Rhinolophus ferrumequinum: one gene and its partners. The protein of the gene in region 4 purifies or fractionates together with the protein of the main gene of each other region. This does not show direct contact. Links are inferred from orthologs where the notes say so. Each region holds a gene or a part of one and is shown on either strand. Other genes may lie near its edges.

Region 1 (7,540 bases), on a different chromosome or scaffold from region 4:
GCCCTTTTTATAGCCAAGACAGTTGGCCCCATTATTTACATTTTTGCTCCTTCTCTCTGGCAGGACCTGGGGCTGTGATCCAACCTTGTCTGTTTGGCTTGAAAGCCCCTCCCACTGTGACGCCTACCCTGATACACACTGTATTTATATTGCATTAAGTTAGAAACAACTCAAATGCCCCACAATAAAAAAAAAACAATTGAGAAAATTCCTATGGCAATATGATGGAGCACTTAGGAAATGCTGACGACAGGTATGTAAACAATAATGCACTTTGAAATATCGCAATTTGATCAAAGCAGAACACAAACGACATGCTGATCACAGGTATGTAAAAGTGAACACCTGCAAATTAACAGGAATCAGAAGTGAACTTAGAGATATATAAAGAGATTTTTATCTTCACAGGCTTTCTTTTCCGATAAAGATTATGTTTGAAATAATGATAAATAGCACAATAAATAATAAATGTCATAGTAAGCAAAGGAGGTAGAGAAGGAGTCTTTCTTGGCCTCTGGGGGACTGCTCATCTTCTCCAAAGAGCTGGAATTGCAGAGAGGGGAGGCAGGGAAGCTGGAAGAGGGGAACCAAGGAGCTGGGGAAGGAGGAACCAGGCATGCCTGAGGACCCCGCGCTGGGAGCCCCTGGGGAGCAGCAGGGCAGACTGGCAATCTGGAATCTTGCTCGAGGGGCACCCTTCACCTCAATGACAATGTCAATGGTGCCACCCAGAGTGTGCCGTGTGGTGGTTCTGGGACAGAAAGAACATGGGAGGGCATCCGCTGGATGGATGTAGAGCCATTTACCTGTTTCCTTACTTCTATGGTCACCCAAGATCTCCAGCAATCTTTCTGCACTTTTCATTTTAGAGGACTAAAGGGGGACCTGGCCACAGGAGGTGAAGGAGCTACAGGGAGAGTACGGCCTTACTCTTGAGGAATGCCAGCCTGGCGGGGAGCAGATGGGTGGGAGAGGTGCCAACCTAGGCTCCCCTGGGACTTGGGGACAGTGAACTCCACAAACATTTCAAAGTCAACATGCCTTAAGCTGGCTCCTTATCTCAGCAGCCCCTGCACCCTGACCTGCTTCTCCTCCCGCTTTCCCCATCCTGGTGGACATCACCACTGTCTACCCGTGGTTCACCAAGCTCTGCAGGACCTGGCTTTGGCCTCAGCCCTTGTTCTGCCCTACTTTGCACCCTGTGCCCCACCCACACTGAAATATTTAGTTCCCGTAATACGTCAAGCTGTTTCATTGTCCTGCTTTTTGTCATGCTAGTCCTTCAGCCTAGAATCCCTTCCTTACCTTGTCCAGCTGCTTACCTGTCAAGAGTTCAGGTCAAGCAGGTCTCCCTCTACAAAGCCTTTCTTGCTCATCCCTTCAACCCCCACCCCTACCCTTGGTCCCCAGGTAGAGCTCAGGACTTCATTTGTCCCTGTAGTCCAAGATCTAGTGCTGCTCCTGGCATATCATCAGCATTTGATGTATATTTTATGAATTAAAAAAAAAAAATGAATGAATGTGGAAGGTGATTTTGGGGGTTGAATTTGATAAACCAGACCAAGCCCACATGTGGTACCCCAGTGCCACCACATTTCTGATAAGAATGTCTTCCAAGTCATTTCTACTCCTTTCTAGAGCAGGGTCCCCTCTAGTCCTTTAGGCCATTTAGAGGCCACTTAGAGGCCTGGCCCCCACCACACACAAGTACACCGCTCCTTGGTCCCTGCGCTCCTCAAACACTGGCCCCTGGTCTCTTCTCTGATCTGTGTGAGGGTTATGCTGTTCAGGACAGTGAGCCCTGACACACCTTCCTGACCCATTTCACAGGTGCTGAGTCACCAGGTAGATGTGGGGCGGTGGGGGGGAGGCGGGTGGTGTTGAAGACAGGCAGCTCTCGTCATCCATGAGAGGCAACCCCCTTAGCGGGGCCATGTGGGGCCATCTAGGAGTGGGGGCAACACACAGTGTTTCTCACTGATATGTCATCACACTCTCGGGCTGGGTGAGCTCTTTGATCTCCAGTCCACTGACGGTACCGGGAATGGCAAGCATCCATGTCCTCTACAGCAGGCTGGTTTCCAGGAATGCCCTTGGCGCTGGCCCCTGCTGCCTTTCCACCAGGGCAGTGTAAGCCTGCCTTCCAGCCGAAGCACTTCCAATTTCCCTAAGTCAGCCTTCCCAGCCTCCCGTGGGCCAGGCATTCAGGTAAGTGGAGTTGGACCTGTTGATCTCCTTCTTGGCTCCAACCGCAGAGGTATTTCTTCCTCTAGGCAGGGCCCTGTCTTTACCATCCTCAGCAACAGTCAATTCTGTGAGCCTGCTCTTACGGGAAACCTGTTACTTTGGTTGAGGAGTAAAAGAGAGGCTGAACTTCAGTCTCGAGGAATCTCATAGTTTGAATGCTAACATGCAGGGCAGAGACTAAGCTCTTGGACAACGGGAGTTTAGAAAATCAAATCCAAAGGACAGACACATGTATGCTTTTCTTTTATGTTTTAAAACAAGCTAACTTAAGCCACGTGTTTTCCTATTCGAAAGATGTGGAGTTTGACCTCTGTTCCAACTGGCTCTGCCTCTGCTCTCTGAGCAGGCAGCTCTGGTTCCTGGGATCCGATGACAGTTTGGGCAGACACACAGGATGAAACCTACTTCACGCTGTACACCCAAAGCATCCTGGGTGGGCAGGGGGACTCCTGGTTCCAGCTGGGAGACGAAGAGGTAGGTACCAGTGGCACCTCTGAATCAATCTGGTATTCCGACCCCCCCCAACTTTCTGTCCCTTCTGCTACAGGAATGTCTTTGAGAGAGGAGACGAGGGGCTTCGAAGAGTGGGCAGATGAGAGACTCCTAACAGTAAAGATCAGGATTTGCAGAAGTGTGCATCTTTCCAGTAGCTTCCATCGTCCACTTTTAAACAGACAGCCTCACGGGCGGGGCTGGGTGGTTGGAACATGGGCTTCTGTGACTAAGACTTCTGGGGCCCCAGAGGCAAGTATTTCACACTCTTCCCAACCTTGAAAATAAACCAGTGTTGAAAACCACAACTTCTTTCTTGAAAGAGTTGACCCTGTCAGATAGCGAGTGGGTTTCTAGATATAAAAAGGTGGACTGCGGGGTGGGGTGGGGTGGTAATTTAGGAAAAGAGAGCTGGGAAGACTCGAATACTCATCACAGAGCAAAGAATCAGGCTTCCCAGAGTCAATCCAGGAAGGGAGATGAGGCGGAGGATGGGAAGGGAGTAGCAGGAGGAAGCTAGATTAGACACAATGGCCTGGGGAGCTTTGTGGGGTGGTGTCGCCAACGAGAAATCCCAGGTGACGATATAGCCAAAATAACTTTTCAGAACATTTCAGAAATGTGATTTTAAATTGTTTGCTGTATGATGTAATCTCTCCCCTGTGGCCAACAAATTTTCATTAAAAGTTCTACTACATGTTATAGCATTATTTGTGTGGTTGTTTTGGAATAGGGGGTGGGGGTTGGAAAGAACAGGGCTGTGTTCCCTATGTGAATTGACCGCAGGAACTAAAGAAACAGCCACCAGACCAGAACACTGAATAACACTTCGCATGAGGCAGAAAACTAGAGCCGGAGGTAACCAGGAAAATCAAAGTTCCCCCAGTAATACACTGAAATCCTGGGGAGGGCATTGGACTTTCCACAGGACGTGGGAGTTCAAGACAATGTCATCTGAATCTCCAAGGACACGCTACCTTAGGTGACATTAGGTTACAGATATGCTTTGCCTCTCCAGCTGGACTAAGCCTTGCAAAACATAAAATGTATCACGCGGATCTTTACTATCCAGGGCCTAGAACAAAGACAGAACGTAGTAGGGCCCAATAAAAACATGTGAATGGTCCATGAACGCCCTGGGTGCCACACTGGTAGCTGACCGAATCTAATGGGGGGCGGGGAGGGAGGGAGGCGCGAAGCAGGAAAGCCTTTCAGTCTGGAAACTGCCCCCTCCCCCCTCCTGCTCTCCACCCCTCTGATCCATTAGCCCTATCCCAATGGCCAGATAACATCAGCTCTGTGGCCTAGAGGTCTGTAAACAGGCAAGGCCCAGCGAAGACAGCGGTGGAGGAGGTCACAAAAGGTTGTGCAGAAACCACATTGCTCTGAGTCTGTTCTGCCCACTCTTACGGAGTCAGAGGCAAACACTGCCCCTTGGGAAGGGGCTTCTGGTCTAAAGGGCTTGGGTCGGAGGCAGTGAGTGAGTGGGCTGTCTTAGGCCCCGTTGTTTCCTAGGACTGGCTGCAGGATGTGTCGTGTGGAGCTCTGGTCTTTGATCCCAAGCACCCCCTTACGCCGTTCTGAGGCCTTGCGGGGAACCCCACAGCCCAGTCTCCCCAGTTCTGCGGCATCCCTGCAGGAACCACGCGCCGCTCACAGGGCTGATGGCGCCACCTGGCGGCGCCCCGGAGCCCACTCACTCTGGCAGCTTCACCCGCGAGCTGGGAAGTAGGAGGGGTGGCTCCAGGGGCCCAGTCCTGCGTGGTGACGTCATGACCCAGCGCCGTTTCTCCCCGCCCATTTCCCCGCCCCGGAGCTGCCAGTACTTGACGTGGCGTCACCACCCTCTACCCTTACTTTGCGTGCGTGTGTGCGTGCGGCGGAGGTGGCTGCGCGGGCTGGTCGGAGCTCGGCGTTGCTGCTTTTGGGGCTCCTGTCGCCGCCGCGCTGTCCGGCTGTCTCGGGCGGCGGAGCGGACGAGGCGCCGGCCCCAGCACCTCGGCACCGGACGCGGCTCAGCGTGGAGCCGGGCGGGAGGGTGGGCGAGCGCGTGTCGGAGTGCTCCGCGCGGGCGGGTGGGCGGACGCCCGAGAGGGAAAGAGGCGGGGGCGGCGGATCAGCCGCGGGCCCGGCCGGCCGGGGGATGTCGATGCCTGACGCGATGCCGCTGCCCGGGGTCGGGGAGGAGCTGAAGCAGGCCAAGGAGATTGAGGACGCCGAGAAGTACTCCTTCATGGCCACCGTCACCAAGGCGCCCAAGAAGGTGCGGGGGTTCTGGGTGGCGGCGGGGGCCCGGACTGGGGCCTCGCGGAAGGGGCGCGAGCGAGCCCCGGGCTCCAGCTAGTTCGCGACTTTTGGGGCGAGGGGATCGGGGACGACTGAGATGGGGTAGAGGTGGCGGGTGAGCGGCCCCAGGCCTATCCCGAGCTGGAGAGGCCGCCCCTGACCTCACTTTCCTTTGTCCCTCGGCCCCAGTCCTTCGGGATCTTTTTGAAACCTGACAGGGCTGGGCCTTAAATTTGTCCGTGACTTTTCTGGGGTGAAGGGCCTCGAAGACGGGAGTCGGAGGGGGCGGACCAACTCAGTTGACCCTTGTTGCCAGCCCCAGGGGATGGGGGTGTACAGAAAATCTCCTTTCAAATGAGTGGGTAAATCTGGTAAAGCTTCTGTAGGCAAATCTTTGCAAGCAGTGGCCGGTTTATCCAACAACTGCGTGCTAGCCTGGAGACAAGCGGGAAAAATGCGTGGAGCTAGCTCTGTTATGCAGGGGAAAGCAATGAGGGCATCATGAGATTGAAAAGAAAACTGTGATTTTTCACCTACAGTCATCCAGTTGCTTCGACACCCGTAAAAAATTAGTATGTGGAGGTTGGTGACGGGAGACACTGTCATGGATACAGGTTGATCGCAGAGTCGTGAATAGACCACTTGGGCTTTCCTTGAGGAGGGAGCTAGGGTGGGTTGGACGGGTGGGTGGTATGGAGCGATTGCTCATTCTTGCCTGCACTTATTGAGGCAGAACAAGTTTCCTCTATTGTACTGTGGGTTGAGCTCAAAGGACGCCCTTCTCATTCTCTTGTCGTGCGTGGAAGATTAAATGGCAACCTTTGGAGCTTTCAGTCTAACGAGCTCTCAGAATGGTGGAATTAGGATTCCTGGTGCTTTCTGAGCATTTGCTGCCAACCACATCTTGACTTTCCACATACCTGGCATCCACTTAACAGTACACCAGAGAACCTTCGCAGAGAGGTGACCTTTCTGAAACCAGTGAGAACCTGGATAAATATTTCCCTCTTGGATAAAAAGTGTTTCAAGGCTGTCCCTGCCTACAGCGTTTGATGGATACAGTGCTTGTATAAGCCAGGAACAAAGCCAGGTTTGCAGGAATGGTTAACAATCCTTAAGGCTCCTTCATCTGAACTAGTTAAGCTGTCCTAAATGGGAGACAGAACTTTTTTTAAGGAAATTAATCCACCTCTCCAGAAATCAAATGCAGGATCGAGAAGACAAGTCACGATTCTGTGGTTTAACTCCATTTTCTCACGAAATTGAGATCTTACTAGTAGAATGCCTTTAAAAGGGTGGTAGAAAAACCCTTGATTCTAAGGAGCCTGATTAAGCTTATTTTTAGTGCTCTCAGTTCAGCTGACTGCTTTGTTGGGCAGTAACCCTTTGCGATCTGCATTATATGGAGACACAGACACAGCCTTTATAAGCAGAATGCTTAAGGGCAGTGCCTGTGATGAGTTAGGGAAAAGACCTGGGAAATCGCTGGTACCCTAACTCCCTGAACTCTTCCTCTTCCCCGTTAGCCTGTCCCTCCTTTGGTTGCTTCAGGGATTAGGCACCTTTATTCGTACTTGCCTTTATTTTAGTAAACCTTTATTTTTGGAAATGCTGCTATTAATAAGACGAAGTTTGTATTGTAGATTGTAAACTCCGTCAAGGCAGGGACTCTGGTTCACCATTGTATGCAGTGTGCCTAACTGTCTGTACCTAGCATCCAGTAGGTACTCAAATAAGTGCCCGCCTGGCTAACTAGCAATTAAGACGTCTGTATGGCTGCCTACCAGGAATAAATAATCCTTTTTCCTCTTTTCTTCCCAGGAGGAATATTGCTAATGTATTATTGTCAGGCCAAGTGCTAATGATTTTAGAGATTCATTCCATTAGCTGACAGAAGCAGTCTCTGCTAGGAATTGGGGAAGACCCCGTGTAAATTTCCATTTGCTGGTAAATGTGTCCCCGTGTTTCTTATTAATCTTGCTCTTTCTGAGCTTTTATTGTTTAGCATTTACACAGCACTTTGTATTAAAGTGCTTTATGATGACTAATTACCCTTCCCCAATGATGATAAAAGGCATTTATTTAGTTGATGAGTTGGTCGAGGACTAATCAAGGTCATATAGCAGCAAGTTCTAGGCGATCCATTTTTTCAGAACTTTGGCTGAATCGGATATGTTGACCTAAGTCACTTTTGTACCTGTGCCATGCGTTAATACTGTGAGAAAGCATGAGGAAAGTAAGAGAAAAAATGTAGCTTGGCATGTGAGAAAAAGGCCTCTTCAAATGGTGCTGTCCTTCACCTGTGAGGATTCTGGTATGGCTCTCTAGACCAATTAATTCCTGGAGCATACGAAGCCCTGAGGCCCCTTGGGAATTGAGGACATTTCTGGTGCCAGTCAGAGGGTATAGGTTACTTCAGGGTGACTTTGACAGTCCTCAGATCAGTTTCCAGTGTAACTGGTGAAATTTTGTTTTCTTTGGGGAAGAATGGATGTCCGTCAAATACTGAGATTCT
Region 2 (6,875 bases), about 40 Mb from region 4:
TAGGACTTGGTGGCCAGCCTCTTCATCTCTCTTTGAAGTTGTGCATTAAGAATGTAAAAGAAATTAAGAGACTAACATCAAGCCTTTACTTACTGTCCACTAAATTAACATGAAAACTACAAAAATACTCCACAGCTCACTCCACATTAAAAAAAACACTATTAAAAAAATTCCAATTGGCAGCAGCTTAAAAAAAAGTTTGTCAAGACTGTCACCACATTACTCTACCAACAACTGGGTTCTCAAGTCTCATAACCAGGTTAGTGATGGAGGAGAAGTCAGAGCCTAAGTGCTCTGTCTCGGTCTTACAGTCTTTCCTCTATAAACATGCTGCTACCGCCATGGATTTATAAGGAATGGGAGGTGAGAAGGAAAATCTTCCTAAACCAGTGCTGCAAGGTCCCAGGACCCAGTTGGTAGCCAGGAGCAAAGCATATGTTCAGCCGACCTGGATCACTTCATCTGTGCCTACGGCACAGGATGATGAGAGCTACCTGTCAAGTAGAAACTCTCCCCTACGCCCAAACAAACCTATTCTCAAGTCCTAAAAGGCAACTGGGTCTTGCCATCCATAAATGAGCACTATACGCCACCACTTCCTGGAATTCCAACGCTCCTGAGCTTTTGCTAAGCCCAGAAGCTCCAGAAACTGCAATGGCAAAAGAAAACACCACCACTGGAGTCACAATGGATTTCAGCAAATTCAAAGCAAGTCGCAAGAAGGCAACTTCAAAATACATCCAAGCTGGTGCCTCAAAGCTATTTTCTATTTAATTCCAAAATAGGTACTTTAAGCATATAATTACACATGGTCGGGGGAGGCAGAGGGAACATAACCATAAACAAAGTTAACCACCAAAGTCAAGATGTGCAGGAACAACAACTGATAAACATGGCAGCTCCCAGTGGTGAGCTGGGCACGCTTCCCTGAGCGCCAGGGCAGGAGGCCATCATGACAGAGGCAAATGAGCTACATTCCAGAAGTCACAAACCTCTAGAGAAGGTGGTTAGGGAAAAACATTTTTAAAAACCCATGGAAAGGCACTAGCAACTGTTTGCTAGTGAGACAATGTACAGACACAGTGTATAGAGCAACAATCTTCTCTTCCCGACTTAATCATACTGGTGGTAATTTTTAACCAGTACTTTGCTGCAAAAAGTAGTATTTTCCACGTACTTTTGCACATGAACTGATCATTTTCTCTTCCAGTCAGAGAAGCTATCGCCTGATTTGCATTTCTCTGAGGGGAAACCAGGTGTCCTGTGTGCAGATTTGGGTCTGGATGCATGCGCACTGGCGAGGAAAAAGACCCTGCTGGTACCAGCCGTCACTTCTACCACTAGGAAACAGATCACAGGCGCTTCCTGGAAGTGGGGCTCTCTTCCACGCCCAAGGCCTCATCACGGACCCCCTCTGTAGTGTGGCATGAAGGCTTATTCCTCTGCTGCTTTTGTCTCAGTATGTGAGTAACCCAGATTAATTTCTGAAGTGCCCTCCCGGAGATCAGACCTCTCAATCCCAGGCAGCAAAACAGCTCAGGCCTGATTCCCGTTTAGAAATGTTTTCTTGAAGGGGAGAAGGGGGAGGAGGTGCAGAAAGGGTGAAAGATACAGGCTTGTGTGTGCGTGTGAATCACTGATAGGAATTCACACTCAGGCAAACAAGACATGGAGAGCCACCAAACCAACCTTGCTTCAAGGTTTCAGGTTTCTGACGATAAAACCCTTGGTTTCAATATTCACCAGCCTCACCCCAATACCATCTGCGAGTCTGATGTTTGCTTCACAGCTCCGGTCAAGAAAAACCCTTCAGGTTTCCAATGGGTGGCTCTCCTCCATCCATGGTTGTAAGCTTTTTCAGGAATTCCGACTGCACTTAGAAGTCACCAATCCCAGTCGCAGCTGTCACATCCCCCTGCCCCAGTACTATTAATATCAAGGCTTTGATCGTTAGTGATTTCACTCATAAAGTTTCCCGCAGCAATGAACATGAGACAACAAGGTAAAACAAAAAGGGACTGGGTTTCTTCACCCATAATAACGCATTCTGCAATCTAGTGAACTTCTCGGGTTTTTGTGTCGGCGGAGATGCTCACCTCTATGTTTTGGGATGCCCACACCCCCTCCCTGCACCGACCCGGCAAGGCCCTCCTTTCTGGGTGCACAATGCAGTATGTAGCTCCTCGGGGGTCAGCAAAACGCCGCACTGGTGTAATAATGCCCAGCGTGCCTCAGAGCCCGAGGAGTTCCCCACGGTAGTGGGTCCACGTACATAACCTTGAGGCCCACACCACACCACAGTCGAGCTTGGAAGTCCCTTCGTGTGGGGAAGCCTGGGGCCCGGTGGCCCAGGGCTGGTGCAATGACTTTGCACCGGAGCGTCCCCTCGGCTGAGGCTCGTCCTCCCACCTCGGCCCACTGCAGTTGCACCACTCCCGGCAGCGCCTCGCACGCCTCCCCTCCCCGCCTAGGGGTCCAGCAGGTACCGGACCCTCCGCCAGCCCCGGCCCCGGCCGGCCCGCCGCACCTTGGTCTCCTTCACGTGCTGCTTGACGCCCTCCGGGTACCACTGGACGCGCACGTAGCCGCGGCGCAGCGGGCTGGCCCGGCCCTCCTCGTGGCCCGCGCCCCCCGCCTCAGAGCAGCCCGAGCTCCCGCGGCCCTCCTCCTCGCCCTCCGAGTCCGAGTCCTCGCCGTGGATGAGGCGCACCAGCCCGAAGTGCACGGAGCCGCGGTAACGGCCCGATACCAGGTCGTGAGAGAACAGGAGGCGCTGTGAGCCGGCTTCGGGGCCGGAGTCCGAGGACGGCCCGGAGGCCGAGTCCGGGGCGGGCGCCGGGGCCGGGGCGGGGGCTGCGTCCGAGGCCGGGGCCGCCTCCGGAACCGCGGCCGGGGCCTGGGCGGGAGCCGGAGCTGCGGTTGAGGGCGCTGCGGGATCCGCCATAACTGCTCTGCGCGAGTCTCTCGGGCGGCGGCGGCGGCAGTGGCAGCGGCAGCGGCGGCCAAGGCTCGGGGAGGCGGGGCCAGCCGGCGCTGGGGGCGGGGCCACGGCGTGCTGACGTGCCCCTACGTGCCGCCGTCGTCAGGGAACTGAGATGCGGTTGCTAGGAGTTACCGCCTCGTCGCTAGGGGACGCTGGAGATGTTGCCGTGGTGGGGGGATGTTAAAGGATGGACTCCACGAGAGAGGGGTGGGGCCTGGGGGGGATAAAAGTAAAGGGGGCGGGAAGGGGTGGGGACCGAGGGAGAGGAAGTGGGGTGGTCACCGAGGAAAATGGGAGTGGCCGACGTGGGGCGGAGGATGGTCCCGAGACTGTCAACAACATTTAACGAGTTCCCCTGGCGTCTGTTGCCTAAGCCCTAGGCACGGGAGGGATACAGAAAGAGCAAGGCACACAGGCCTTGTCCTCTAGGCGTATACAACCTAGTTGGAGAGACAAAACATATACACATTAAATTGCTAAAAAGCGACTCCAATTCAGCTTGTAAGCAAGGCTGTAATAGGTATGTCCAGTGTATCTAAGTATATTGTATTAGGAAATTCCGTGCAAAGCTTGGAAGATCATGACCCCTTAGGGATCCGTCAAGCGGTTAATAAAGGAGGCTCAGAGAATGATCAGAAAGAGCAGCAGGTATTAGCGGCCCCTCCAATTTGCCTTTAAACCCATCTAGATGAGTTCAAAGCTCCATGAGGCTGGATATACATGGCAAGAGGTAAGATAGCCAGACAGTTAAGAGTGGGAGCCGTGGATTCCAATTTTTGGCACTGCCACTTACTAATCTTATAAAGGTACACAAGTGATAAACTTCTTTTCACCTTAATGTTCTCATCTGTATAATAGGGGTGATAATAGCACTACTTGTCTCATCAGGTGTTTGGGAGAATTAAATGAAATACAACAGTGCCTGGCATACAGTTCTCTCAATAAAGCTTAACCATTATTATAATATTTCAACCCACCCCCACTCCTGTCTGGACTAAAATTCTAGATTGGCAGAACTATTATGGTCTGCTTTATATTGCCATTTTAAAATATAAAAAGTAATTATACTAATTCAGTGCCTAAGGTCAGAAGGTAGTAACTGGCAGATCCAAATTGGAACCCAGATTTCCTAAACCCACATGCAGGGGCTTTTCTAGTTGCTGTGTCCGCCAGGGGATGGAGGTGTGCAAATAGGCTAAAGGGGCAGGGCAATGCAGGTCCTAAATCTTTGATGTCAAAAATCCAAGTGAGTTTTGCATTCTATTTCAGCTTCTGCCTGTGCTTGTTATAAAAAGAATGCCCTTTCCTCCCTAATAGTTGGGTAAAATTGACGCTCCAGGAAGATGTGCCATGTTTATTCTGCAGCTTCTTGTAATAATGGCTAATAATAGCCTCCGTTTATTGAGCTGCAACTTAATGCCAGCTACCACACTAAGTGCTTTACATAGATTACCTGCCTGCGAGGGAGGAAGTATGAGCCGTCCCTTCCGTGAAGCATCATGCCACACTGTGCTGTCCCCCACCCCAACAGGAACCTGCTAGGCTGTAGGTAAGAGTCCTTGATTTCAAATGCCAATCTCTCCTCTACTAAACACCTTTTGAGCACATATGTGGGTTATGTCACATTTATGTGTGTAACCCTGGTACCTAGTTCAGTGTCTGCCACAGTGTTGGTGCTCAATAATGTACCATATTGGTGGTGTCAAAGGCCTGAGATTCCTGTTCCCCCATTTGGTCAATTTCTTATCCCCTCCCCCATACACCACGGAGCTGCCCATGCTATTTCTAAGCCCTTTCTGTTGCCCCGAGTTTGAGCTTCATCTGAGCCCTTTCGGAGAGAGAGGCTCAGTACCTCACTCCCCGCCTCATGGTGTCCTTCAGTGGCCTCCTTCAGACCTGAGATACTCCGGGCATGGTTTGAGCCTTGACTTCCAGACCCCAAGCCCCCAGCCGCAGTCTCTGCACACCCAGGCTGGAGAGTAGAGCCCAGATGGGAGCATCTGCTTAGTTTTTGTTTTCGTAATTGTTGGATGAAAAGAAAAAAAAACACACTACTTCATTCCCCAATAGAGAAAAACCCTTCCTTTCATGGCCCCAACACCCAGCCATTCTTGGGGACCAGAGATACTCCTCAGGAGAATTTGCTTATTTACAAACATGCCTGCCAGAAACTGAGGCAGCCTGGCCACTCCCCTTGTTAAGGAAGTGGTGGGGTGCGGGAGGCAGCAGAGCTGGCAGCAAAGTGAACTGATCTCAGAGAAGCAGGCCCTGTCTCGTCCCTATCTTAATCAGCCACTGAGCCACCTCTCCAGACCCACAAAGTGTGCACACTGCCCCCTAGGGGAGCCCCAGCCTGCTTGGCCTCTCCAGGCCTCCCTGTATGAACAAATCCCTATGGGCCCAGAGAACTCCTCCCACCCTGGAGCTGGTGTTTGGGGGTTCTAGGGTGCCTTCAGCTCTTGGGGGCTTTGGCTGCCAAGGAGGGGTGGGAGGGGCGCTACTCTAGGGAGCCCTCCCACACCCTCAGTGTCTGGCTGGGGAAATGCCTCTGCCTGAGGTTCCAGCTGTGGGTTGCTCAAGCTGTGGGCTTTTGGAGATAAAGGGGCAATCCTTGCTCCTGGAGCCTCACCCCTCCTTGCCTCGATGCCCTAGGACTTGCCCAAGGTGACCTTGCATTACAGCCAGGGTCAGGACAGGCCAGCCCGTGGCCATTCTCACTCCTGACTCTGAGGAATGGTTGCAATCCACTAGGGAAAACACTTTGTGCCGGGGGCAACAGTAAAAAGTTGAGCAATAAGTGATAAGCAATAAGGTCGGCTTAATATCTCAGTATGCTTCAGCGGCTCTCATGGTCCACCAGAGAGTGACACACGTGGCCCTTCATGAATTGATTCCCTCTACCCATCTTCCACCGCAACACACATGCCCCATACTCTGGCCTCAGCTGCTTACTTAAGGATCCCAACTCTTTGGTGCCTTTGTGCCTTTTCACTTATTTGCCATCTCTGCCTGGAACTTTTTATTCCTCTGCTGCTTCAACACCTGCTTTCCCCTAAAGATCTCCTGTTCCCCTTACAAGAGCTGGCGTGGGCCTTCTTAGCTATCAAGTCTTCCAAGTGCCCCACTTCCCCCTTTTACCTGGTAATACCTGTATGGTCGTGTCTCTTACTCTCTATACAACCATTTTTGTACTCCTGTCTGTCCCATGGGACCATGAACTTTGAGGACAGGGATGTGTCTTCTTCATCTTTGTATCTCAGCAGCCAGCACAGGTCTGACTCACAGTAGGTGCTCAAGAGATTCTTGTTGAATGATTGAGCAAAACAAGCTCAACTCTCCCAGTGGCCCTCAATGCATCAAGTGTCTGGGACACCTCCATCTTTCCTCAAGTCCCCAGCTCTCCAATTTTTTAGATATGGAAACACACCCTATATGTGCACACTCACCTCACACATCCACTCACACTCATCACACACACATACACCCCCCCACACACATACACACACTGTTGTTCTCTCCTTAGTCTTCAGCCCCTAACTATATGTGCCTCTTGAGCACTGAAATGTGGCTGGTCTGAATTGACACGTGCTATAAGTATAAAATACACCCTGAATTTTGAAGACTCTGTGCAAAAACAAGAAAAAAAAAGAAATATCTCATTAATAATTTTATATTGATTACTCGTTGAAATGGCAATATTATATATGTATCTATTAGGTTAAATAAAACATATTACTAAAGTCAAGTTCACCTGTTTCTTTCAGCTTTTTTTGATGTGGCTACTAGAAAATTGAAAAATCCCACACGGGCTCTCATGATCTTTCTTTCTACTGGACAGAAGGCTCCAGTTGCTCAGGGAACCATAGGTCCCTTCTTTCTCCAGGAGGTGGCG
Region 3 (7,745 bases), on a different chromosome or scaffold from region 4:
CAGATCTTTTTAATGGTTACATAATGTGCCACAGCACGTGTGCACCATAATTTGATCAACAGGTTTACTATTGAAGATATCTGGATTGTTTCTTGACTTTTTCCCAGTAATATTAATGCCATAATAAACATTCTTGTATTCATATCCTACATATTCGCATTTTCATTTCTTTAAGATAAATGGGATTTTGGATTGAAATGTATATGTATATTTATAATTTTAATAAATATTTTCAGATTACTTTCCCACGCTATGACAGCAATGTATGAGAGTGTAAGTTTCCCTGTATCCTGGTGAGAGATGGTAACAATAAAATTTGTTTTGTTTTTGCCTATTTGAGGAATGAAAAATAGTACCTCATTGTTTTACTTGCATATCCCTGACTAGTAAATTAGAACACATTTAAAATTTTTATGGTGTCAAATATATATATTTTAAATGGCTCCTATCTTATTTAAGAAGCTTTCTTGATAAAAAGTTACATAATATACTAAAATGTCTTATATTTCTATTGTATTTTTTCATTTAGATCTTTAATCTACCTGGAATTTATTTTTATATCTAGTGTGAAGTAAGACCTGTATTTATATTTTTCCACATTAATAACCAGTTATGCCAATACCACTTTTTTTAGTACATAAAGTTGATACTAACTTCTCCATTAATTGTAGTCACATAAGACTGATACCAAAGCTATAAGGCCAATTTATTTGTTTACATAAACAGAGATTTCAAGTCAGCCAGAATATTAATGTTGGCTCTTTGACCATTTTCTCCCCAGTGGGTAATTCTACATGGGAAACTAAATTACTGTTGAAGGCTGCTCAGGGGGATTAGGTCTAGAAAACAAATTAAAAATTTTAGGGACTAGTGTCTGAGTCTGTGACAGCCTTTGATATAATAAAATATAAACACTTTGTCCACTCTTCCTGATACAGAACTCCTAATACTCTTGGAATTTCCTTAATGATAAGAAGGTCTTTTATTCTTTTCACCACTCCTGAGTTTATGCTAGTGAGGTAGCTTAGGGTGGGGTCCCCAGAAAGCCTCAAGATGAGGCCAGAAACCAGAAAGACCACGTGATTAGAAGGGGGAACTTTTAGCCCCACTCCCAACCTCCAGGGAAAGGGGCAGGTACACTGGAGACTGAACTCTATAGAAACTCTTAACAAAGAGATTCAGAGCTTCTGAATTGGTGAACACATCCATGTACTGGGAGGGTGATAAGCCCCAACTTCATGGGGACAGAAGTGCAAGACCTTTCTGGACCTTGTCCTGTGTACCTCTTCATCTCTGCCTGTTCGTTTGTATCCGTTGGAAGGATACAGAAAATACATTTACTTTGTAAATGTAAGTCATGTATCTTCCTGAGTTCTGTGAGCCATTCTAGGCAATTACTGAACTTTAGAAGGATGTCATGGGAACTCCCAGTTTCTATGCACTTCATCAGAAGTACAGGTGGTCTGGGACTTATTGGCATCTGAGGTGGGGTAGCCCTGTGAGACTTAGCCCCTAAACTGTGAGGTCTTCACTAACTCCAGGTAGTGTTAGTGTCAGAATTGAGTTGAATTGTTGAATACACAATTGGTGTCTGGACAATCAGAGACTTGGTTGTTGGTGTTGGAAAACACCTCACAGTCCAATGTTATGTCACCTTGTCAAACAGAGTATCAGAAACATGTCATATGTTTTACTAACTTTCTCACCTGAACTGTGCTGAGAACAAAGTGAATTTCCCTGTTTCGCTTCTTTCTTTTTTTTTTTAGGATCTATGCCAATAATTCTTTTCCTATATGGAAACCTTCACTTAGATTCTTCATTTATTCCATTCAATAAATACACATATATGTGCCAGTTATTCCACTAGAGAGCTAATGATACAGAGTTGAACCAGATGAACAAAATTCCTGCTGTAGTTGGGGGAGGAAGTCAACAAAACACAGAGAAAAATAAGTTAAGGACTAAAATAGGGGAATGTGCTTTATAATGTACTGAATAGGGAGGACAGAGGCATAGGCAAAAAAAGTATGACAAATACATGGCAGGCATGTATGTATTTTAAATGCTTCCAGAGTTATTTTGTACATATATAAGCAAATACATACATATATACATGTATACACATATGGTCTTCCTTCCACACTCCCCCTTTTATTTTTTTCACAAATAGCACTACACTATATACACTATTCTACATATTGCACTGTGCAGCTTGGAGATCATTCCATACAAGAACTTAAAGAGTGTCCTCATTTCAAAAAAAAATGGCTTAATAATATGAAAAGCTCAATTTAGAGTATATTAATGCTAAAAATATTTACAAGGCTTAGGCCAGATTCATGGAAGATTTTAAAAAAACTGAATATGAACTTGTAATAAAATAAAATAATCGGTCTTTCTGACTCCATCTTGCTCGTGCCTGACGTGTTAGTTAGCAACTTCTGCTTAGTCCTGCATGTAGATATGCTAGTCATCTAACCTGTAGCCTAGAACTTACTGAAACAACCTTCCTGCTTGAAACTACCTCCCTAAGGAGATAAGGAAGGTATGTACAAAAATATTGTTTATCAAAATTTTTATAGGAATCTTGTGACTAAGATCACGGCAACCAGAGTTTGAAGTTTCATCATCCCCCTTGGACCCTTGCTGACCTCCAGATGTCTGAGCTCATCAGTCACATCCTGACCTCAAACCCCTCCTGTTCCCCCTTTCCCCTGACATAAAAGAAACCTGCATTCTCTATCTTCTCAAGAGAAACCTTTAGGACTCTAGTCCACTATCTGCTCGGCTTTCTGAATAAAGTCGTTTCCCTTGCCCCAACGCCTTATCACTTGACTTACTGGCTGTCCTGTGGTGGTACGAGCTTTCACTCCATTACAAATTTGCAAGCTTTAGGCACAAAGAATGACTTGAATTTCAGGCAACTAGTTCTCAACTACTGGTAGACCAGAAGTCTAATTACGTTTGTTTTATAATACAATTTCTATCTCTCATTTATTCTACTTGCCATGAGTACCCCATTTCTGACATTTCAGCACATTAGTGATCATATAGCATTTCATAAACACCAGCAAGTATCTTTGATAATATATATATATGTGTACACACACACACAAATATATATATAAGTAAAAGAATGTCCATAAGCTTACAAACGTCTATCTCAGAAAAGCTGGGAATTTTGTTTCTATTTTGATGGGATACTGCCTCTCAACATTTCATATATTACAACCCACCAATGTGGTTGAGAATCAATATATAAAATATCTTGTAGGATAAGATAGACAAAGTGGAGAGACAACAGGGCCAAGTACGTCAGCCAGGAAGGATGAGGTGCCTGTGTAATTAGGAATTGGAAAGAGTATAGGAGGGAAGGAAGAACAGGATTTGGTACTGATTGTATAGAGGGCATCAATCCGAAGGAACACTTCTAAGATGATTCCAAGGCTTCCAGGAAGAAAGAGATCACTTTCAGAAATGAAAAGAAGTGACCAGTTGTAAGGGGAGATTCCTAACTTAATTTGAGGTACAAAGACTTTAGATGGGACCTCAGAGATACATTTCCAACATTGTAATTTTTTTTTTTAAGAATGAAGAAACAGCAAGTTGTTTGCCTAAGTTCGCACAAGTTAATAGGCGTGGCAGGCAGGACCCACATTACGCTTAAGGGATGGTTTACTGTAAGCTCGGAGAGGTCCTGTAAACGGATAGAAACCCAGTGCGCGAGAGGCAGATACCCTACCAAACACTGACTCCAAACCTGCCAAATTTTATTACATGGGTCCCTAGTGAAAGCTAGATACGGAGTGACAGAGTCCTGGAATTTCAGGGAAAGTGGAAAATAGAGAGGCAACAAGTAGGGAAAGAACTATTTTCTAAACTACCATGTACCCGTCATTTTACATCTGGCTATCTCATTTAATTCTCACCACAACAGTATTACCATTTTTTAGCGATGAAACCAAGCTAGAAGGGAAGAATCTCCAATTGCAACCGAAACCCAGATGTGTATAGGGGCCAAGTCATGCTCATCCCGCACTCTCCTTATGCTGCCTCACCTGACCCAATACACTCATTTTAACGAAGCCCGCTCAAGGGAACACCCACACATTTGTCAAAGGAGTTGTGTGTGTGTGTGTGTGTGACACATACCATTGGGGATTTTACAACTTACACTACACTACAAGTGGAGAGTAGGGGGAGAAGCCATCAGCTAAGAGGAGAAGCAAGGAGAGAGAGGAGCTGTCAGAATGGTGTGAGGAGTGAACTGTGTCCTTCTGCTTCTACTCATACCCCTAACAAGGAGACTATCCAACACACTTGAGGGAGCTAAACCTTGGCCAGCTTCATTCCTTATTGCCTCTCAGGAACTACGATTTAACCCTTAATCTAGAACAAGCGAGGTGAGCACTTCAGACAGAAGTGGAAACCCGCAGTGTGAACCAAAATTTGAGCCGTGCCAGCGGCAGTGACTTCAGGACGGTTTGAAAGACAAGTTGAGAAACGGGCGAGTTTGGCTGCATCACGCGCCTGAAGCCAAGCGGTGGGGCCGCAGCAGCTCCTGCGGCTTTTCCTCTCGGCCCACGCCGCCTCCGCCCGCCACGTGACCCACCGTGTTGTGGTGAGGCCCGCGTGGGTGGCGGGAGCCGCGGGAGGGCGGAGGCGGCGAGAGGTGGGTCACGTGACAGCGTTTAAATCTCCCGCAGCCGGAGCCGCGGGGGCGCCACTGCCGCGAGTCGAGCGAGAGCAGAGGAGGTGAGGAAGGAGGGCCAGAGAGGCAGTTGGAAGATGGCGGACGAGGCGGCGCTCGCCCTTCAGCCCGGTGGCTCCCCTTCGGCGGTGGCGGCCGAGAGGGAGGCCGCGTCGCCGCCCGCCGGGGAGCCGCTTCGCAAGAGGCCGCGGAGAGACGGCCCCGGCCTCGGGCGGAGCCCGGGCGAGCCCGATGGGGCGGCCCCAGAGCGTGAGGTACTGGCGGCGGCCGGGGGCGGCCCGGCGGCGGCGGCGGCGCTGTGGCGGGAGGCGGCGGCGGCGACGGCGGGCGGGGAGCGGGAGGCCCAGGCGGCGGCGGCGGGCGGAGGAGACAATGGGCCGGGCCTACAGGGCCTATCCCTGGAACCACCGCCGGCCGATGATTTCGACGACGACGACGACGAGGGCGAGGAGGAAGAAGAGGCGGCGGCGATTGGGTACCGAGGTGCGCAGGGCGCGGGCGGCTGGGACTGCGCATTCCCTCCTCCCTCTCCCGGGGCCCCTCCTGGTGTGGGGTGGAGGGGTCTCGGGTGGGCAAGGGCTCAGGGCTGATTCTGCCGCGACCCTCTCCTTACCACGGCCCTCAGCTGCGCGCCTCCGGGGCTGCCGGCCTGGTTGCAGGAGCGGCCTGCGGACTCGCTCGCTCCCTCCCTCCCGTCCGTCCCTTAGTCCGCGGCCCGCCTTAGCGGCCTCGCGCTTTGCGCAGCCGCCGGGCGGGGAAGCTCTCGCAGGTTTTAAAATAAGTTTCTTTCCCCTCCTACTTTTTTAGCATATTGCTTTTATTTAACATCATTCCCACCCTTCATCCCAGCCCCCAGCACTCCTAAATCTGCAACTTTTGCTTATCCCTTGCACCGACTTTTTGCAGTTGTCTTTGCAAATTGACACCTGTGCAATTTGTGACTTTTTGGGGGGAGGGTCTTTATTTTTAAATTAGTCTTGAAATTGGAAGAGCAAAGCTATTTCTAATGTAATAGCCTCCAAATTTTGAAGAGCTTAGCTGTTTCTAAAGACATTACTCTTGTGGTGCAATTAATAGTGGACGTAGAAGAGTGACAGTACTTTGAATAGTATTTTTCCTCTAATCATGTTCTTAAAATAGTTTTAGGATTAGGTATAATCCTTTATTGTGTGTATATGTAACCCTGAAATACGACTGACATATTTTGGCATACTAAAGCAGATGTGTTAGTTGTATATGTCATGTCATCTTTGAGGATTTCATATTTTCGATGTGAGGAGTTTCTGTCCTGGATAGATGTGCTCTTCATCATTTGTATCAGTAAATTTAATCAATGGACCATTGGACTGTATTTAAAGGTAACATGCATTAGAGACTTGATTAATAAGAAGACCTCATTCAAGAAACAGTCGAATAGGGAAAATGAATAATGCAAAGTTATCTTTGTATGTTTAGTATTTTATAAGAGAAGTGCAGATTGCCCTAGTTACTTGGAACAAATTTTTTTGGTTTTTATTTGACAAGTTTCATGAGCTCTATTATTTGTGATTGATAAATTCAGTCTAACTAGATTAGTACTTCTTGTGTTTTGATTAAGTAAACTTATGTCTAGATTTTTGTGTGAACTGAAACTTTTAGATTGTGGGCAGAATCCCTAAAGATGAGGATATATACTGTGCCTATGAACGGTGCAAGCAGACCTAGTAGGCATTCTTTACACAGGCAATATGAATGTTAAGTGCTTCATTCATTGAAAATTGTTGCATCATAACCACTGTAGATCTTCATATATTTTAGATGCAGACTGTTTCAGTAGCTTTGAGTTACTTTTGGTTTCTTTTGTAGATAACCTTCTGTTTGGTGATGAAATAATCACCAATGGTTTTCATTCCTGTGAAAGTGATGAGGATGATAGAGCCTCACATGCAAGCTCTAGTGATTGGACTCCAAGGCCACGGATAGGTATGGTTCCACAGCTTTTAGAAAGTAAATGTCTTTTTCTTTGTTTTAATTTTAACGCCAACTAAAAATATAATTCTCTGCCCCCTTATAACCTAGTTATTAGGTTCCTTAGGTGCTTGCTGGATTTAATGTCAGCTTATTTTTCTAGGGAAAGTCTAGTGCTTTGTTTTTATTTTTAAACAGCTCAGGCCCATGGAAACTGGCCTCTGGTATTTCTCAAACAACCAGGTCCTTCTCACAACTTGGGTCCTTGGGTCCTCTTCGCTGGTACTCAGTGTGGAATGCTCTTCCTCTAGAGTATCTTGCTTCCTCACTTCCTATCCATTCTTCATTTTTTTCTTAACACATCATCACTTCTCAAGCTTTGTATCTTAACTTTTTTATTGTGTTTCATATACTAAAATATACTCGGAAACCAGTTGGGGGCAGGGATTTTTGACTGATTTGTGTACTATTTTGTTAGTACCTAGGTAAGTGCCTGGCACATAATTTGTGTTCAGTGAATCCGTATTAAGTATGTGGATAAAATGGGAAAGTATTTTGAAATAGAGAACACTATTCAGATTTTTATTACCAGTTATAACATGACCATCTTGAAAGTGATCTTTCTCTTAATGTGCTCTCATTCTTGACTATTTAAATATAGTGATGGATAGTTCCTTTTTAGGATCCATAATATTTACTATATTTTTGGTTTTTTTCAAGCTAGGATACTGATTTAAGAAATGCCAGGCGAAAAAATATTAATGCTCAAAACCAGCACTGTGTGTATCATTTTGGGAGATTGATTAAGATCAAATTGAAGATTATTACTGGAAAAATTTTAAAAGATAGTAGTTATGTATAGATTTATTTTAGGTAGATATTTAGATATCCTTTTCTTTTTCCCTATGTCTTTAATGATAAACAGTATGGGATTTCGGGACTGGTAAGATCTATCCTATATTGATTTGGAGAACCCTTTTGTACATATTCGTGTTATTAATTACAGTGTGTATTTCTGGATTTTAATGATTGAAATTTAATTCTGGCAATTAGTTTGACTCCTAAAATACATAGCTTGAGGGGCAGA
Region 4 (6,996 bases):
CCCGGCCAGAACGGCGCTGACGGTAGAGTGCAGAGGCATACAGGACATAGTAATTCTCAAAGACGCACTCCTTAAAGCGACACTCAGCTGTGAAATGTGGCTGAGGAGACAAAGACCCAGAAAGGCAAACACAGACAGAGAGACAAATAGACACATCACTGGACAGAAGGGAGCCCTGAGAAGAACAAGCCAGGATATAATCCATACATTTCAGGCTGGAGGGCCAACTTCTGAGTCCATGCAGGAATTGAGAGAAAAGGAGGAAAAGGAAGAGTCTTGTAGGCCCCTGAGGGTTAGGAACCAGACATTTGGGGTCCTAGAGTAAGAAGATACCTTCTCTCCACTCTATTCCCAACCTCTCACCATCCCCTATCCTAAATGACTCTGGGGAAGTGAGTAATCACAACTCTGGAGGAGGTAGGATGAGAAATGGGAACCCTAAACGGATGAAAAGAGTTGGAGAGAGTTGGACATTCAAAGAGCCTGGGGGCGTCTGGAAGGCTGCATGAAGAGTAAGGATTAGAGGGACCCTAGAGGAGGTACTCTGGAGTGGGCAGTAATGACAGGACAACAGCAAGAGCTGGAGGAGGATTCCTGAGCTGCAAAATATCTGTAGTTGAGAAAGTTGTAGCTGGGGCAGTCCCCAAAGCCGAGGCCACTCTGCTTCATTATCTCACCGAGCTGTAGAGCAGCCCCTCGGCATTCATGGCCATGTAGTGACCCAGCTTGGCACTCTGGATGGTGACCACACGGAGCCCCACGGGGATCAGATTGAAGTGGGCTGGGGGTGGAGAGAGGGAGTGTCAGTGCCCTAGGCCTTGAACACCCATCTGAGCTCCCCCCATCCCAGCTCCACTTCCTCCCTTGGAACTTAAAAAGCCAAACTGAAAATAACAGAACCTGAAGCAAGAATAGGATTTGTCATCTAACCCCTCTCCCCCTTCCCACCCAGCTGCTGGCTTCCCCTCTCACTGAAAGAGCTGGTGTCCTCTGGGGTGCCCTGGATGCTCCCATCGGGATTTGCCTGGAGGTAGAAACCCTGGCGGCAGAACAGTTTTGTGACGATGCCTTTGAGCTGAGGCTCTGGAGAGAGAGAGAGAGAGATTAATCTTTGGAAATGACATCTCTGGTCCCAGAAACAGTCCTACACTTGATGGGATCAGAGGAAAGAGAGTGGAGGGAAAGAATAGAGTCCCTGGGCCCCACCTCTCTGACCTTCCAAGCAAACTCTCTCTCACCTCTTTTTGACTCCTGAGGAAGCTGGGGTGTGGGTCCCTTCTGCTTCCTCTAACCACCAGCTTTCTAATTTATTTAAATTTATTTAAATGGATTAATTCCTACTCTACAGCTCAACCAGAAGTGGGGGAGGGCAGAGAAGGGGAAGAGGAAGAGGAGAGATCCATGAAAAGGCAGAGGACACAGGGAGAACAGGCAGGGCTGCTGAAAGGGCAGTGTGTTTGTGAATGTGGGGGCCAGCAAGGTGACCAGAGGGTAGGGGCGTCCCCTCAAGAGTGGGGGTGGGACTGGGCCTGACGCTGACTCAGCACCTGCTGCTGCGGCTGCGGCTCGGTTGGCGCGGGCCTCGCCTTGGCCCAGCGCCGGCCTGTCTGACACTGACCCATCTGTCAGTCTGTCTGTCAGTCTGCTGGCTCGGGGGCCCAGCCCTTCCTGAGGTTCAGCCTCTCCCCTTCTGGCAGGTAACCTCCTGGGGTGGGGGACATTCGGTACCAAATCAAGGAAATGGGGGGAGGGGCGGGGGAGATGGCGGGCAGGCTGAGTCACGTGGGGGCCCGGTTCCACTCAAAGGGTGGGCTGTGGGCCATACCACTGTGGCGGGCCCGCTGCGGGGGGCGGAGGGCGCAAGGGGGCTACCCCTAGGGAAGTTGGGAGCTGGGCCAGAGGGACTCTCTGCCTGTCGTACCTGGACGGGGATCACACGCAAACCTTCACAACTCCCCTTCCCGGTCGCTTGCTCTCGGCCGACTTCCCTGTACCCCCTTGTAGGTGGTACGACCCCCCAGTCTCAGTGCAGGTCTCCCACCAGCCTTGCACTGTCTGAGTTCCTCGCAGCAGAGGGTCCCCTGAGCTCGTGGGACCTGATTTCGGAGTCGCGTGGAGGGTAACGGAGGGGGTGCCCAGCTCCCCTCTTGAAGCTCAGGTCACGGGAGGAGGGCGCACAAGAGGGGCGGGCTGGCGAGGTAGCTGCAAGGACACCCGCGGGAGAGCTGGGGGGGTTGGCGCCGAGCCAGGCAAGCTCCGCCAGGAGTAACCGAGCCAAGGCGTGGAGGAGCGGGAGAACTGGGGCGGGGTCGGGGCTGCCGTAGCCGCAGAAACCCTCGGGGTGACCCAAGCGTCCGGAACCCCCAGGCCCCTCGGCTCGGGATTGAAAGAATCGCGAGAGCCCGCACGTAGGCAAAGGACGATGGGGGTGGGGACCCTGTGGTGGGTGGGGGGCGCGAACCGGAGCTGCGAGGCTTGGGGCCCCAGACTTAGCCCTCAAGCCTTCCCTTTGCATTCGAAATCAAGGAGACTCGGGGTTATGGGCAAAACGTAAGGGAAACTGAGGCATAGACTGGCAGAGACTTTGTTGCCCTGGCCCATCCCCTTTCACTTTCCGGGAGCCCCCTTGAGTCGGGCCCCACTCTTCAGAGCCCCTCACCTCAACCTCCCAGGCGGAAACCCCAGTCCCGGAGACCCCGCCCCAGCCACTCACCCAGGCCGCGGTCCGGCCGCGCGGGCCGTCTCCCACACAGTCGCACCTTGGATAGCAGGATAAGGAGCTGTTTCTGGCAAAGGGACTTGGTGCCGCGGGGACACACGCGCCGCTGCGCGGACACGGGCCGGCTGCCCCCAGGCTCGCGGACCTCCCGCTTCTGCCGGATCAGGCTGCTGGCCAGCGCCGCCATGGCGCCCCGGGAGGAGACACCCCCAAACCGGCAGGCGCTCGGAGCACACTGTGCTCCCCCAGAGAAGCCCGCTTACCACGGCATGGTCTTGACGCTTTCCCAAGACTCAGCGCCCCACCCACAGGATCTGAGGACAAGCCTCAGACCACCCCCACTCCCAGCCGCCAGCTTCCACCCTTGGGCCCCCTTGCTAGCTCCACTGGACCCAACAGCCTATGTACCTCTCAGTTTACCCCACCCTCGACTTTTACCCCCTACAGAAAACTCTGCCTTCCCGTTCTTTCCAGTTATTTCTGTCCCCACTTCCCCATCCCAAAACCAAGACCCCCAAAATTTCCAAAATGTGGTTCCAATATCCCCAGGTACCTTCCCACCCTATTTTGGGGCTCCTGTATTCACTCCTGTAATCTAAAGTGGGTGTGGGTCCTTAGCTTTGAGGATATTAGCTCACCCACCCCTACTGGGGCCTTGACAATGTCAGGGAAGAACCCAATCTTGGTGTCTTTGCCACCCTCTAAGTGAAGAGGGTCTCCCACATTTTTTCACTCTAATACCCCCCAAATTGTGTCTTAGAATATCCAGGCTGTCCCCATTCAGTGAGAAGGGGTTCCCAGACTCTGTTTCTGGACAATACCTTTTTTCACCAAGTCATCCCCATTTCTAGCGGCACAGGGTTCCAGTTGCTGAGTCTCTTTCCTCACCTTGTTACCCTCTACTCCTTTTGAAGTCACCTCCAAATCCACCCTTCCTAGTGGATACACCAGGTGGTTGTCTGGAGGGCCCTCTGTCACCTCCAAATAAGGAGCAGCCAGGTGTTTTTCTGGCTGTCCCTTAATTTCCTCAGGGACAGCTGGTACTGTTTAGATCCCACGCCCTCCAATCTAACAAGGCCCTTAAGAAAAGAGTACACCCACGTTGTCACCAATCCTCAAATGTGAATAGGCCCCCTACAAGTCAGAGCGTATCAGAGCTTTCTGCGACAGGGCTTCCTCATCTTCCGGGCGACTGCCTGTAGCACCCCTCTCTCTTGCCGACGCCCCTCAATCTGTCCTGTCTTGTTGATCCGGCAACGGGTAGCGCTGGCTCCGGTTCCAGGCTCCTCCTTCCCTGTCCCCCGCAAACGGAGCTTCCCCCCACACCCGGCTCCGCGCCCCGGACTCCAAAAGAAGAGTGAGGGTGTCTCGCAGAGAGCCCTGGTCCCGCAGTCAGAGCACTGGGCCTGGTTGCTGGATCAAGCACAGCGGCGGCAGCGGCAGCGGCAGCGATTGTGGGAAGCTGAGGCGGCGGCGACTACCGCAACTCCCCCTTTTTGGAGAGCAGGCCGGGAGGCGGGGCAGGGGGCGGAGACGCAGGGAAAGGGGGGTGAAGATGGGCGAGCAGAACCCCGGGGTTCCTTGGAGGCAGGGAGTGGGGACAGTCAAAGAGGCAGGCGGAACCAAGGCAAAGCCGCACGTCTCGGGGTTCAGAGAAGGGACAAGGTGGTGACCACTGAATGGAATGGCTGGATGGGGGGAGAGATGGGCTTAAGATAGATGGAATGGCAGACACCCCAAGGGGGCAAAAGGGACCCTACTGCCTGGGATGGGAGGACAGAACTAAATGAAGACAGCGGGGGAAATAACTGAAGAGATGAGAGTGGGGGACCCGAGATCTAGCCTGGGGTGAAACCCAGCCTCCTTAATATTTCTGCTTTTGTGTGAGCCAAATTGGTCTGTCTCTGGTCTCCATACTTCTCCTTTCCACGTTTCGTCAGTAAATATACCCCCTCCTCCATCCCTATTGACTCCTGAAAGAAAAGACCACAAGAATTGGGGGAAGATGGTTGCTAGAGGCTGCACCAGGATGCGAGGGATACTGGTCACAGATTTGGAGAGTGGAAAAGCCAGAATGGGATGACCTGTAACAGGGTTGAGGCGGGAAAAGGGTAGTATGACGGGCCAGGAGGCCTTCTAGAAGGGTATCTTTGCGTCCAGGATTCTTAGTCTCCCAAGCAAGGGGCGCGCAGTCCGCTCCACATTCTGCTAGCTAACAGAAGCACTTTCCACCCTGGTAGGACTAGTCTTTAATGGGCCCCACCTCCCACGCCAGCCAAGCCGCCCCCCTTGCGCGCAGCCTTAGCCTCCTCCACCGCAGCGCACAAGGCCCGGACAGGGTCCCCACGAAGCCGAGCCAATGCTAAGAGCAGCGCTGCTGGACCGTCCCCCGCACAGAGCTTTTGGCCGCTCAGAAAATAGTGGGGCAGTGTCCCAGCCTCCAGCACACGGCTCAGCTCATCCAGCAGCCCGAGACAGCAGGCGCCCGCATTCTCGGGCCGCGCCAGATAGAGGGCAGGCAGTCGCTCGCAAGCCCAGTAGAGCAACGTCCGCAGGAGGTAGGGCGCCGCGGCCCGGGTCCCCGCCACCAGCGGGCGCAGCAGCGCCTGGGCAGCTGCGTGCGCTTGCAGTAGCGGAGCGGGTATGCGCGCCTTGAGCGCCAGCTCCTGGCGGGCGAAGCACAGCTGCCAGCCAGAAGCGCCCCGCCGATCTATGCGGCCGCTGGGCACCAGGTAGAAGGAGGAGGGCTCGGAGGCCAGCGGGCCGGCCCACGAGTGACTCCGAGCCCTCTCCGGCCAGCCAGCCACAGACACCACGGGGATCAGGTCGAAAAGTAGGAGGTGGCGTGGAGGCCCTGGCGTAGCCAGGAGAATGGTGGTGAACCCCGCGTGGCGGGCTGCGTGGACCAAGCGCGGGGCACCCGGGACCGGGTACAGGGACTCCGCGACCTCGGCCAGCATAGCAAAGAACCATGCAGCCACCTTGGCAGGGCACAATGTGGGCCACGCCTCCAGAGCCTCCGACGGCTGTGGGACTGGACTATCCACTGCTGCTTTGGTGACGTCACCATTCATTTTTTTCAGCGGTGCGGGGAAGCCAGGATCGGTTACGTCTTGCAGAGGCGACTCGGGCCCCGAACCGTTACTAGGTGATTTTTCCAAAGAAGACACAAGAGGCTCAGGCTCAGTGACATAACTGTGTGGCGGGTGCACGGAGCTTTGCTGGTCCTTGGGGCTTTCTTCGCTTTCTGTTCGGTGCATGGAATCACGTCCTCCTGGGACTGGTGGTCCTAGGCAATCCTGCCAAGCCTCTCGGACAGAGATTCCGTGCATCAGTTCTGGGAGGCAGAGCCAGGCATAACAGGATTCCACGTCCAGTTGCAGCTCCTGCCCAGTGCCGTCTACAGAAAACACGGGCACCAAGAGTGTGAAGCCGGCGTCGTAGTGAGGTCCCCTAGCGTAGGGACCTAGGGGTGCAGGCCCCAGATCCAGGGAGCCCTCGCGAATCCCGCCACGAAGCAGCAAGAGCTCCGCTTGGGGAGGAAAGCGGGGGTCCCGGCGGTGAACAAGACCTACGGGAAGAGAAGGGATCACGAAGGCATTACCCAAAGCCAGGGCGGGGCTGAGAGCTGAGAGTTTCTGAAGGCAGGGAGGGTTACTTACCAAGCAAAGAGAAAACAAAGTTCTTGGCCCGAAGGAGGTCTGGTCCCGGGTTGGGCCCGTCACTCCAGCTCTCCTGCACACCCAGCTCCTGGATAAGCTGGGTTAGTTCCTGCAGCTGTGCCCCAGAGCAGAAGTCGATGTCCGTGAGCGGGCGGGCTGGGGCTGGTGGCGGCGGGCCCCACCAAGGGGCACTTCCCCAGACTGCGGAAGCCATGTGGCTCTATCGTTTTCTGTTAGGGATAACACGGAAGGGAGGAGGCCTAGACAGGCCTTTCCTTTGCTGCCGAAAAGTCTCCTCGTTTCTTTTCTCTTCCCGATGCCGAAAGTACCCCAGACAAATCCGCTAATGGGTCTGCAGACAGACAGCTCTAAATTTAGACTTGAAAACCAACAAATAAATACCTCCTCAGTCCTTGCCCTTTCTCATAAGCTGGTCTCCGCCCCCATGGACAGGTTCATCTGACTCAGCAGGTAAAAAGTAGCTGTTGTGCTCCTTCTACAGAATACAATAGCCAGTCTCCTCCACTGCCCTTTGTCTACCTCCCCTTACCTCTTTTTCGGAAGAGGCTTATGGTCTGCGGCTTCTCTCTGAGGGGTAGCTTCAAGGGTTGGGAA

What was found.
Region 1: the proteins of FGF11 (region 4) and AHCYL1 purify together in Homo sapiens (affinity purification with mass spectrometry; 3 studies listed by BioGRID and IntAct, with this or other methods). This does not show direct contact. The link is inferred for Rhinolophus ferrumequinum from reciprocal best matches to the Homo sapiens genes FGF11 and AHCYL1.
Region 2: the proteins of FGF11 (region 4) and UBE2O purify together in Homo sapiens (affinity purification with mass spectrometry; 3 studies listed by BioGRID and IntAct, with this or other methods). This does not show direct contact. The link is inferred for Rhinolophus ferrumequinum from reciprocal best matches to the Homo sapiens genes FGF11 and UBE2O.
Region 3: the proteins of FGF11 (region 4) and SIRT1 purify together in Homo sapiens (affinity purification with mass spectrometry; 3 studies listed by BioGRID and IntAct, with this or other methods). This does not show direct contact. The link is inferred for Rhinolophus ferrumequinum from reciprocal best matches to the Homo sapiens genes FGF11 and SIRT1.

Annotation. Positions count from the first base shown.
Region 1 is NC_046305.1:41,996,854-42,004,393, forward strand, and holds the start of AHCYL1 (S-adenosylhomocysteine hydrolase-like protein 1), read left to right. Parts: upstream 1-4,524; 5' UTR 4,525-4,882; coding exon 4,883-5,002; intron 5,003-7,540. UniProt on the Homo sapiens protein: Multifaceted cellular regulator which coordinates several essential cellular functions including regulation of epithelial HCO3(-) and fluid secretion, mRNA processing and DNA replication.
Region 2 is NC_046304.1:51,120,787-51,127,661, forward strand, and holds the start of UBE2O ((E3-independent) E2 ubiquitin-conjugating enzyme), read right to left. Parts: upstream 3,015-6,875; 5' UTR 2,945-3,014; coding exon 2,528-2,944; intron 1-2,527. UniProt on the Homo sapiens protein: E2/E3 hybrid ubiquitin-protein ligase that displays both E2 and E3 ligase activities and mediates monoubiquitination of target proteins. Negatively regulates TRAF6-mediated NF-kappa-B activation independently of its E2 activity.
Region 3 is NC_046299.1:46,617,935-46,625,679, forward strand, and holds the start of SIRT1 (NAD-dependent protein deacetylase sirtuin-1), read left to right. Parts: upstream 1-4,728; 5' UTR 4,729-4,788; coding exon 4,789-5,194; intron 5,195-5,324; exon of another isoform or gene 5,325-5,420; intron 5,421-6,556; coding exon 6,557-6,673; intron 6,674-7,745. UniProt on the Homo sapiens protein: NAD-dependent protein deacetylase that links transcriptional regulation directly to intracellular energetics and participates in the coordination of several separated cellular functions such as cell cycle, response to DNA damage, metabolism, apoptosis and autophagy.
Region 4 is NC_046304.1:11,433,997-11,440,992, forward strand, and holds the start of FGF11 (fibroblast growth factor 11), read right to left. Parts: upstream 3,014-6,996; 5' UTR 2,907-3,013; coding exon 2,714-2,906; intron 1,084-2,713; coding exon 973-1,083; intron 782-972; coding exon 678-781; intron 101-677; coding exon 1-100. Other genes in the region: TMEM102 (transmembrane protein 102), read right to left, coding at 4,969-6,290, 6,382-6,595.